Macaca mulatta: one gene and its partners. The protein of the gene in region 2 purifies or fractionates together with the protein of the main gene of each other region. This does not show direct contact. Links are inferred from orthologs where the notes say so. Each region holds a gene or a part of one and is shown on either strand. Other genes may lie near its edges.

Region 1 (3,500 bases), on a different chromosome or scaffold from region 2:
GGATCACCTGAGGTCAGGAGTTCAAGACCAGCCTGGCCAGCATGACAAAATACTGTCTCTATGCACGGTGGTGGGTGCCTATAATCCCAGCTACTCAGGAGGCTGAGGTAGGGAGAATTGCTTGAACCCGAGAGGTGGAGGTTGCAGTGCGCCGAGATCACACCATTGCACTCCAGCTTGGGCGACAGAGGAGACTGGGTCTCAAAAAATAACAATAAATAAATAAACATACAAAAATTAGCCAGGCATGGTGGCAGGTGCCTGTAATTCCAGCTACTTGGGAGCCTGAGGCAGGAGAATCTCTTGAACCCAAGAAGCGGAGGCTGCTGTGAGCCAAGATTGCGTCACTGCCCTCTAGCCTGTACAACAGAGTGAGACTCCGTCTCAGGGAAAAATTAAAAAAAAAAATAAATAAATAAATATAATAAAGGGTTCTCAAAAAACTTAGGATAAATGCATCAGAAACAGTAATCAGACACATAATACAACAAAATATTCTTGATCTAAAATAAATAACCAGGTCTGAGATGGAATGCTATTATGTTCTAGGTATACAACTAATGAAAACTAGGCAGAGAAAACACATTAATGATAAGGGAACAAAAGGAGAATGAGAAAAGTCTGAGAATGGTCTCAGACTTCTCCATAATCCTAAATACTAAGCAAGAGTCACTGGAAGAGTATTTACAAAATTTGAAGTGGAACAGTTAGTGCCCCAAGAAGGTTATGCCTACTCAAGTGTGACAGCACAGAAAGAAATTACCAGGGGCACATGAGCTAAGGTAAAATAGCATTCATGCTACCCTTTTTAAAATTTATTACTATTTTTTTTTTTGAGATGGAGTTTCGCTCTGTCACCCAGGCTAGAGTGCAATGGCGTGATATCATTCACTGCAACCTCTGCCTCCTGGGTTCAAGCGACTCTCCTGCCTCGGCCTCCCAAACAGCTGCGACTACAGGCATGCGTCACCATGCCTGGCTAATTTTTTTGTATTTTTAGTAGCCAGGGTTTCACCATGTTGGCCAGGTTGGTCTTGAACTCCTGACCTCAAGTGTTCCTCCTGCCTTGGCCTCCCAAAGTGCTGGGATTAGAGGCATGAGCCACCACGCCAGGCTACCCTTCTTAAAAAGATTGCTTGAGTGAGGCACTCAGCTAATTGAGAGATTAAGTTTAAACTAAAAATTCATGAATGGGAAAACTGTGGAATAAAAGGACAACTGACACTAATTTGACACAGAAAATTATATAGCACTATAAAATTAATGCAAAATAAAAATTTTGAGAAGATAAATGATTAAAAAATAACAGGAATGTAAAAATTTGATTTAAAAGTAAGAAAGCTGGCAGGAGAAAAACGGAAGGGAAGAGTTAAGTGAATGTTAAATTCCTAAGTTACTACTTTGTTCTGAATTTTGATAAGAAAGTTTGAAATATGCATTTTAGTTGTGCTTTTTCAAATAATTTTAAAGTTGATTTAGTGATGGTTGCTTGTAATGAAGACATCGTTCTGTCGGACAGCTGAATGCTGGTGCACCTTTGTTACTTTGTTTAAAAAAAAAATCCACATCCCAACAAACACCTCATCTACAAGTGTGCCTACCACTATGATGTCAGCATCAGGAATATTCCATGGCCACAGGCTGTAATAAGCCTATTGAGAACAATCCACGTATCATAAAAAGCTTATTAAAGTTACCTACAAGAAAGATGACACTATGCAATCTTACAGTTTATCACATGGATGTACAGAACATACATACCTGCACACTGGCTGTTACCACTGAAGACCCTGAGGCAGTGGATGGTCTATGTGGAGTAGACAATGGTTTGGTAGCACCCTGTGTTCCACTTCCTGTTCCCCCAGATAGACTAGTCCTATTAGCTCCGCTTGAGTTAAGGTTGCTACCTCTGCTGGCAGGTACATTCATTGCAATTCCACTCAAGCTATTCTTCCCAACAGTTCCAGTGGATGATGAGTTTGTTAGCTTTGAGGGGGCCTGAAGATTTTTTGTAGATGGAAGGCCTGAAGTGCGATTAGAGGGCAATAAATTCAAGGTGGGAGACTGTCTGCTGATGTTCATTCCACTGGGCTGTTTATGGACCGGGTTGTTAGTGCTGGAGTGGCTACTCTGGGCTACTAGTGCATTTGGACTGGAACTACTTGGGGATACAGTAGGCTTGGGAGTCGGGTTGGATTTAGAAATAAGTTTAGTTGATACTGAAGGCTTAGCTGACAGAGAGGGCTTGGGTGAGGCAGAAGGCTTAGGCGAGGGCAGGGGTTTAGGAGATGTGGCAGGCTTGGGAGATGCGGCAAGTTTTGGGGAGGCAGCCATCGAGAAGGGAGATTTGAAACCCTGCGTGGAGATCTGTGACACCATAGCCTTGGCTAAATAGTTACTGGAGGTAGTGGTGCTAGGTACTGTCCTAGAAACCAGGGGGTGGGACCCTTGAGAACCATTTCCAGGTGAGGGGGTAGATAAAGGAAGGCGGTACATAAGTGGCTTATCTGAAGTCTTAATAAGCGAGGAGGGACAGGAGAGTTGGGGATTATTACTTAACTTCACCACAGGGTTGGTCTGGGATTTACTGATGGTGGCCTGTAATGGAGACACATAGTTCTGCTGGACAGCTGAATGCTGGTGCACCTTTGTTACTTGTGTTAATGAAGAAGCATCTTGGGCCTCGGATGTTCCCAGAGCATGAGAAGAGGCAGCAATTTGGGCTTGGGAAGAAGAGGAGACGTGGGTCTGTGAAGAGGAAGAAGTGTGAATCTGGCTTGACCTCTGAAGTCCTTGTTGAAGTAGCCTGGCTGGCAAAGGTTCTAAAGAAACTTTAGGGTTCTGAATGGAAGAACCAGCAATAAGGCCTGAAGAGATGCCAGTATGAGCTAAATCCTGGGGTTTCTTTGGTACTGGCCCTGTGTGACCAGCAATAAGACTTGAAGAATGTGTAGGCTGAGTAGAATCTAGTTTTTTGGGAGTAGCCAGTGGCAGCTTACTCATGATACTAGCTAATTTTTCTTCTCTCAGTCCTGGACGAGGCTTTGTGGTTGGCATGCTTATCCTTGAGCCAACAGGAGGGCCCTTGTTCCCACTGTTGATAACCGCTAAAGCTTCAGAAACAAGATCCAGTGAAGGTGAATGGAAAGAAAGGTCTTCATCTAGTGAGTCGTCGAGGCAGATGGTTTCTTGGGCTGGTGCAGAGCTAGAGCTGGCTGCAGCAACGGCAGTTGTGCTGGAGCTCGTTGGAGGACCGCTAACCGAAGCCACCAGGGATGCCGGAGTTTTCTGGTCCTTTTTTGGACTATACTCCTAATGTAAAGCATCATATGAAAAAAATAGAAATGGTGAATAAAAAATTACAAAGTTAATTTTAAATAACTAAGAGATTTTCATGACAATTAAAATTGTTTTTCTACTGGAAATGTTTAGGGACTATCAAAACAAAAATAATTTTTGAGATGACAGAGCTCCTGACTGAGCTGTCCTCACAAGACAAA
Region 2 (4,062 bases):
CTGTCTCATTTAAAAAAAAAAAAAAATTCTATAGTTTAAGAACAGAATTTTTAAAAGAACTATAATATAAAAGTATGGAACCTATAAGAAGCCTTTGCTAAGTAAACTCAATTTCCTTAATCCACATAGCCTCTAGGTGGAGTATACAGGCATGGCACCTTTTTGAAAGATTCCTTTGCAGCTTCAGTATGACTCAGCTTAAAATATTTTTTAAAATACTAAATAAATGCTCAGTAATGGTGCCTAGGAAGTGAAATATACCATTGGAAATAAGTATATTTTTGATACCAGTACTGTAAAACCCTGATGTGATTCAGCTGGGTTCTGAATGGATCCCAGTTAAAAATGGAACCTGTTTTGGCTTTATGAATGGCTGGTTTCATCTATGCAATGTAAAAGCCCTGTAACGACATCCTGAGTCATCTATCTTCTTTGTTCAGAGCTGACTCCTAAAATGGAAGGCATCACTTGAGAAATACCTGTAATTTGAAGAACTTCTGGTGGTATACTTGAAAAACACTGTGGTGTAAGTTGGAATGGACCGATCAATGGTTTTTCTTTTGTCTATTTTTATATGCAGTTGGCAATAAAAAAAAAAAAAAATTACTGACTGTTGGGTGTGAAAAATGGGCCTGGTAGCTGCAATGCTTATATTAATAGTAGTATCATACAGATGACTTCAGAGTAATAAGAAAAATACCCCTAAGTGTTATCAATGGCCTATTTGAAATTATTTTAATAAATGAATCATCTTTCAAAATTTGCCCTATATATGTATGTGCATTTATACTCTATATAGGTTTACCAAAAAAAAAAAAAAAAAAAAAAAAAACCCCACAGAGGGGCACATGTTAAAGTAGTAATTGTGATTACCTAAAGGAGATAGGGGAAGGCATTGAGTACAGAGAACTGTTAACTTTATATATGCCTGTACAACTTTCTAAAAGTTTATTACAATGATATATATTGTTTTATAATTAAAATTAACCTTACATATGATACATACATTTTAGAGATTAAAAACTAGTTTTTAAAATGAAAAGTTTTACATGCCACGATTAGCCAAATCATCTTCAGAGCATTTTAAAAATACACTTCTAGTTCAAAGAAGTATGCCCCTCATCGATGAAGTTAAACTATTTCCCCTTCAAAACTGGCAAATGAAGTACTGAATTACTTTAGTAAAATATAATTAAAGCAAAGATAATTGTTGTTTTAGCTTTCTAAATATTTATTACTAAACATATTAAGAATACGTATTTTTAAGACCTTAAAATATATGTAGAAAAAATACCAGGAATTCTTGGACTGACATGAGTTGTTTACCTTAATTTCCTAGCCTACGTTTGTGTTTTATGTTTAGGGTGTGTTCTGCATCTGGATGTGGAGTTATTTTACATTTCAACACGCTCTTGAAGAAAGTCTTCTTTCAGACTATTTAGAAGGCAGAGATTAAGTCCTGGAAATTATTTAAGTATCTTATTTCTGCTCTTAGGTTAAATGTAACTTCCTAGCTCAGCTCTCTCTCTCTTCCTGAGATTAGCTTTTCGTCATTAGGGGAAAGGAGTCCACGTTGGTTGGGGAGCCTGCGCGCCAGCATCCCGGCGCATCCCGGGCACCGGCCGAAGAGGACCGGCCGAACAGGACCCGCGGCCCCCGGGGAGTGCCGGCGCCCAGCCCGCGGCGCGGAGGGGCCGAGCCTGCGCCCGCCTCCCCCGCTGGTTGGTCGAGGAAGCCAGAAATCAGCGCGAGGACAGCCTCGCTCTCCTCCCCGAAGCGGCCAGGCATGGCCAGCCCGGAGAGTGCGGCGACTCCACCGTGAGCTCTCGAGAGTTACTGCCTCCCTTTCGCCGGGGGCAGGCGGGCGAAGGGGCAAGAAGAGGCGCCGTGCGCCGGGGTCGCTGGCCCAATTCTCGACTGGGGTAAGATGGCTCCGCTCCGAACTCGCCGGCGCGACCACACGCACAGCCTCTCCCTTCCCAGCCTCCGTGCCCGGGCCCGGAGGGTCGCGGAAGCTGTTGGCGGCGCTAAGCCAGCCCGGCGCGACCCCAGGAGGCGCCGCGGGCGCGAGTGCGGGTCTCCGAGCTGCCCGCCCGCAGACAAAGCTGACAACATGGCTTCCTCCGCTCAAACAAGTTCCTCGCAAGTTGAGCCCGGCAGGCGCCTGGGCTGCGGCGGAAAGCCGCGCGCGCCTCGGCGGCCGTCGACCATCAACTTGAAGTTTCCCTCCGCAGAGCAGCCCGCGGCCGCCAGGCGCCGAACACAGCCGCCCAGCGCGAGGCCGGGCCCGGGAAACTTTCAACGTCTGCAGCCCGCAACTGACAGCCCGGGCGCACGGGCGCCGCACTCACCTTCAGACAGGTCCTCGATGCACTCGAAGGTGATCTCGAACTGGAACGGGTTGTAGAAAGGAGAAGGGTTATCCAGCACCACTACATTGTTCACCTGAACCTTTGCCATATTTTGAAAAAAACACAAACAATGGGAACTGGGGCTGGTTGCGGCACAATAAAGTCCAGCGCGCGGCCGCTCGGGAGAGCGCAGACCCCCGCCCCAGCGCCGGCCCGACGTTGTGCAGCGGCGACTTGAGAAACTTTTTTTTTCCTCTTTTTATTTACACGGGAGCACTCCACAGTGTTTTGCAGCTTTCCTATTTCACTAAACTACAGCCCATTCTGCTCTGATAAGTAGCAGCGTTGCCCTCGATTGGCTGCACCCGAGCTCTGACCCTCCTCCTCCAGCGAGGGCCTCGGCAGCCAGCAAGATGGGCTCCCGCTCCCGGAATGGACTCGGAAACTTTAACTGCGGCTCCACCTGCTGGTGTGGATTAGGACAAAGGCGGAGAACAAAGTGAGTGGAATAAGGGCTGGGAGGCCCGCGCGGAGGCCGCCGGCGGCGGCGCGGAGAGGGGCGGCGGGGGCGTGGCCGCGGCGGGGAGGCGTGGCCGCGGCGGGAGGGCGCGATTCGGCCGACGCCCGCCCCTCCGGTTGGCTTCGTGTGGGTGTTTTGGCGTTTTTTGTTTTTTTGTGGTTTTTTGTGTTTTTTTTTTTTTTTTTAATTTTTTAACGCTCTTTTTACATCATTGCAACAGCTTTGCCGGCCTTGCTGAATTTAGCAGATGAGAATCGGTGTTTACACTGGGTTAGGTTCAGCTTTCTGTGTATCGGGTAGTAGTTGGAGTAGAGAAAAAGATTGCCTGCAGGGGAAATAAATTGCATGTTATAGACCGATGTCAGCTCGAAAGGAGCAAAGCCATTTTGGAAATCTAGCTCTTGGCCAGTATCTACGTTTAGGCACGACAGCGCCGTTAAGCAACACAAAATGAAGGGCGAGGAATGATTTTCCACACACTGTGCTTGGAAAATTTAAATAGGTAACCTTTGGGCTTACACCTGGGCGTCTTCTTCGGAGTCCAGATCTGGAAAGTCCTAGAATAAGAAAAAAATCACAAGAGGTGTGATCAGTTATACCCTAGGTTACTGCCATTGGGAGAGCATAGCAGGAACATAAAAGGAGAAAATGGAAGTGTCAGGAGACCAACAGGGCAACACACATAATAGAGATGGGGAAAAGAACACGAAGACATAGCAAGACATTTGATCTTCAAAAAAATTTCTGACCTAAACCATTAGTAAAGCAAATTCTGAGGAGCCCTTGCTTGCCTGTAACCAGTTGAGATCTGAACTGAGGAAATGTTGATTCGTTTATGCTGTTTGACTACCATTGCGGGGAAAGAGAAAGCTTTAACACATTTGTGAGCCTAAACCGTTTCTATTACTAGTAAGTGGTATAAAGATTTGTTTTTATTACCTGCTATCCATAAACCGTCACTTTTTTCCTTAAATGTTGTGAATGAAACCACCAAACTTGGCCAAATTCAGAGAGAAAATTAATTCTGAAGTATCTGCTCTGGAAGAGTTTTCTCTTAGGATAGTGCCCAGAATGTTGATTTGTCATTCTTTGGGCATTGTTCATACTTAAGTAGGTGGCTTTTGATGAAACGTTTTCATCTGATGGTCTTTTGAAAGTTAATGTGAGACAGCTAATGTCAGCCCCTCCTAC
Region 3 (3,500 bases), on a different chromosome or scaffold from region 2:
AGTGCCCGGCAGCAGCCCACCCCGCTCACCCCAGCCCAGCCAGCCCCCGCCCCTGCCACCACCATAGGGACCAGGGCAGGGGGCCACCCCGAGGAGCCGCTCCCCCGGCTCAGCCGCAAGAGGAAGCTCCTGGAGGACACGGAGTCAGGCAAGACACTTCTACTGGATGCCTACCGTGTGTGGCAGCAGGGCCAGAAGGGTGTGGCCTACGACCTTGGCCGTGTGGAGAGGATCATGTCGGAGACCTACATGCTCATCAAGCAGGTGGGCGGCGGGCAGAGGCCTGGGGGCACTTGTGTGCTGGTAGCATCCCCACTCTTGCCTTTCTATTCTCAAGGAGGGTCTCCCGGGCCTGCCCTTGAGCTGGGTTTTAGGTGTTCTTCCCACCCCATTCCCCACTGTTTACATTCTGCAATGAGCTTTAAAAAGTTGATATTCAGCCTGGAAGGAAGTGAGAGCCTATCTCAGAAACCTTATCACAACCAGCGCAGGGAGTCTGGACCGCTGCTCCCACCGCTGTTACGGGCCTCTGGGCGCATCTTAGGGCATTTCCTTCAAGACTTCTGTGGCTGTCATCTAAAGATGGCTGCAGTGACCAGAGATCCCCTTCTCATTTTGCCTTCTTTTTTAAAACATTTTATTTTAATATATCAAGCACTTTCCTTTTTCTCCGTTTAAAATTATTCCCATAGGAAGAATCTCCAAAACTTTAGTGACTGGCTCAGATGGGATGACCATCCCTGACATACAGTATTCCCTCTAATCATGTCAGTTTGCAATGCACCCCAGCCCCAACTGCCCCATATCATATGGACCTTGGGCACTGAATCTCCAGACACACTTGACACAGCATGGGGCGATCTCCATCAGGCCTGGGATTCTAAAAGGCCTCTCCCACTCTAATCATGGCCCTCTATCCTGCCCACTTACGGGGCAGGTTTTAGCTCAGAAGACTCCCCTCATCCCCTAGCAGCTGAGCCTCAGCTGAATTTGAAGGCTTGGTTGGAGCCCTGAGTCTGCCTGCCAGCTTCAGCTTGTGAGGATGTAAGTAACTCAGCCATAGAAATGAGCTTGGTATAGCCAGATGGGCTCAGAGGAACGGCTGGGTCTAGTCCTGGCACCAGTACCTGGTGCTGTGGCACCTGAACAGGCACCCCCACCTGGAAGATGGATGGGCACCTGCCCCTGCTACCCATGAAGAGCTGGGAGGTAGGGGTCCGGGTGTGGACAGCAGTGGGGACAACTGGCTCTTCAGTGGAGTCTGGGGTGGTGGGGGGCACCCGAGCCACAGGGCATGCCCCCTACCTAGGCTGGTCCGTGCTACATACACAGACAGGGCTGGGGGAGGCTCACCACAATGGCCTGGGCCCCCTGACCTCCGGCATCTCGCTGTTAAGGTGGATGAGGAGGCTGCGCTGGAGCAGGCTGTGAAGTTCTGCCAGGTCCATCTTGGGGCTGCCGCCCAGAGACAGGTAAGCCCAATTTAGCCTGTGCCAGCCTCATCTTGCGGAGCCTGCTCCATGTCAAGGCCCTAGGATGCAGGCTGAGAAATAGTTCCACTTTTGGGACTGTTATTGTGGTGGTCAGCTTGGGCCAAGGGGAGATGAGCAGGGGTCAGCTGAGCCTCCAGCCCATGGCCATGGTGGGCGGGAACTTGACAGGGCCTAGACCCCAGTTCAGACATGCCGAGGGGTCTCCTCACCTCAGCCACCTTTTCTCTATCAAGGAGGATGACCCCTAGCCAGCTGACCTCACCTGGGAAGGTCATTCCTTCTGGGACAGTAGTAGAAGAAACAATGTTAGAGCCAGGCTGGTTAGGAGCCAGGTGGCTGGGTAAAGGTGGAGATGCAGCCTACACAGGGACCCCCCCCTCCATGAGGGGAGGGCATGTAGGGAGCAAGGTGTCCTAAGAGAGGGTAGGCAGGAGTCCTGGAGTTTATTAAGCAGGGAGAAAGCAAGGCAGCCACGCTCCTAAGTGGGGAAGAAGGGGTTGGTTCAGGGGCCAGGCCAGGGCTGGGGCAGGGTCCAAGATATGGCAGAGAGTAGGGAGTGGGGGAGGCCCCTCCTGGGAGGACCCCAAGCCAGGGTTGAGATTGGGTTTGTGTTGAGTCTGAGACTCTTTTAAGAGAGAGAGGCCAAGTGGTCAGGAAGGTCAGGGGCCCCCACCTGGAGGGGCAGTCCAGGCCAGAGACCTGGGGTAAGTGCCCCTGAAGCCATCAGAGGCCAGAAGAGGACACAGGCAGGGCCAAGGACCTTGGCCAGGTCACAGGCACAGAGAAGAGACTTGGGCAGGACAGGGAAGTAGCCAGGAAGGAGAGTGTTCCCAGGGGCCAGCTGGTCAGCAATGCCAGGGCAGTGAGGATGGGGGCCTGATGGATATGGGAACCCAGGGGCCAGGGCTATTTTTGAGAAGTGATGAGGCTGGAAAGGGCTTGAGCAGGAGCAGGTAAGGTGCTGGGTCTGGAGGAGAGAAGTCTCCATGGGAGAAGTCCAGCTTGAAGCCAGTGGGCAGGGTCTGGCTATGAGTTGGGGTGGGGTCTCCACGACCGAAGAAGTGGGAGGGATGGGATCAGATCTCAGTGAGAGGATGAGGCAGGGAGGGGCAGACATGGCAGGCAGAGAGAGCAGGTGTGCTCTGTCTAAAACATAAGCCTCCAAGCCAGAGGTTTGGTGGCATGCCATTTGAGTAGGTGCAGCCTCTTGTCCCCAGGGGTGGCCCGATGCCCCGGGTAGCATCACCCCAGGTCCCTTTGTTCCAGGTCCCCTAGCAGAGGGTTGGTAGCTGCCTTTTGGGTCCAGACAGGCTTCCTCTCAGTGGAATGGGGCCTCAGGCCCCCACCACCTGCCTGGGCTGTTACGTCAGCGGAAGCCTGGGAGGTTCAGCTTTGACCAAGCAGGCTGTGGGCCAGACAGGGCATGCTGTGGGGAGTAGGTGGGCCTGGTCCCCAGCTAAGGGCCAGAGTCCTTGGCAGGGAGTGCCCCAAACCCCAGCAGTCCCCACCATTTCATTGTCCAGCTGGGCAGAGTGCATAGCACAGCTGCCTGGGCCCCAGTGCTGGGCCCAGGCCCAGGTCCACCAGGGTGCCGTGCCTCCTCCACTGGCCCAGGTGAAGCAGGTGGACATGTGAGTGGTGACCACTCAGGAGACAGGAGAGCTGTTTCTGCTTTTGATGTCCTTAAAAAATAGATCCACACAGGAAACCCCCCCACAACCCCACACCATAGTGTGAGAAGAAAGGGGTGCTGAGCTGGCAGGAGTCAGGGCAGGGCCAGACCCCATTTTGCCAAGGACATGCATATCAGGGCCCCTGAGGGCTGGGTGGGCAGAAGTTTCCGTCAGAGACCTTGGAAGATACAGCCTGGGTTATGGGGGTGGCCAGAGCAAGGGGACCCAGGTCCTTACCTTTCAGGTTACCTGCTGCTGGGCGACGCCAGGCCAGGCCCCAGCAGTCCCCTCCCAGGGTGTGGAGGAGAGTGGTGGGGAGGAGGCCCTAATGACC

Evidence for each region. Proteins that work in one complex are often made in the same cells at the same time.
Region 1: the proteins of ASF1A (region 2) and UBN2 purify together in Homo sapiens (affinity purification with mass spectrometry; 3 studies listed by BioGRID and IntAct, counting the BioPlex papers as one, with this or other methods). This does not show direct contact. The link is inferred for Macaca mulatta from reciprocal best matches to the Homo sapiens genes ASF1A and UBN2.
Region 3: the proteins of ASF1A (region 2) and CABIN1 purify together in Homo sapiens (affinity purification with mass spectrometry; 4 studies listed by BioGRID and IntAct, counting the BioPlex papers as one, with this or other methods). This does not show direct contact. The link is inferred for Macaca mulatta from reciprocal best matches to the Homo sapiens genes ASF1A and CABIN1.

What each region holds. Positions count from the first base shown.
Region 1 is NC_133408.1:179,124,622-179,128,121, reverse strand, and holds part of UBN2 (ubinuclein-2), read right to left. Parts: intron 3,313-3,500; coding exon 1,762-3,312; intron 1-1,761.
Region 2 is NC_133409.1:23,859,256-23,863,317, reverse strand, and holds the start of ASF1A (histone chaperone ASF1A), read right to left. Parts: upstream 2,801-4,062; 5' UTR 2,461-2,800; coding exon 2,352-2,460; intron 1-2,351. UniProt on the Homo sapiens protein: Histone chaperone that facilitates histone deposition and histone exchange and removal during nucleosome assembly and disassembly.
Region 3 is NC_133415.1:28,349,091-28,352,590, forward strand, and holds part of CABIN1 (calcineurin-binding protein cabin-1), read left to right. Parts: coding exon 1-264; intron 265-1,397; coding exon 1,398-1,472; intron 1,473-3,500. UniProt on the Homo sapiens protein: May be required for replication-independent chromatin assembly. May serve as a negative regulator of T-cell receptor (TCR) signaling via inhibition of calcineurin. Inhibition of activated calcineurin is dependent on both PKC and calcium signals.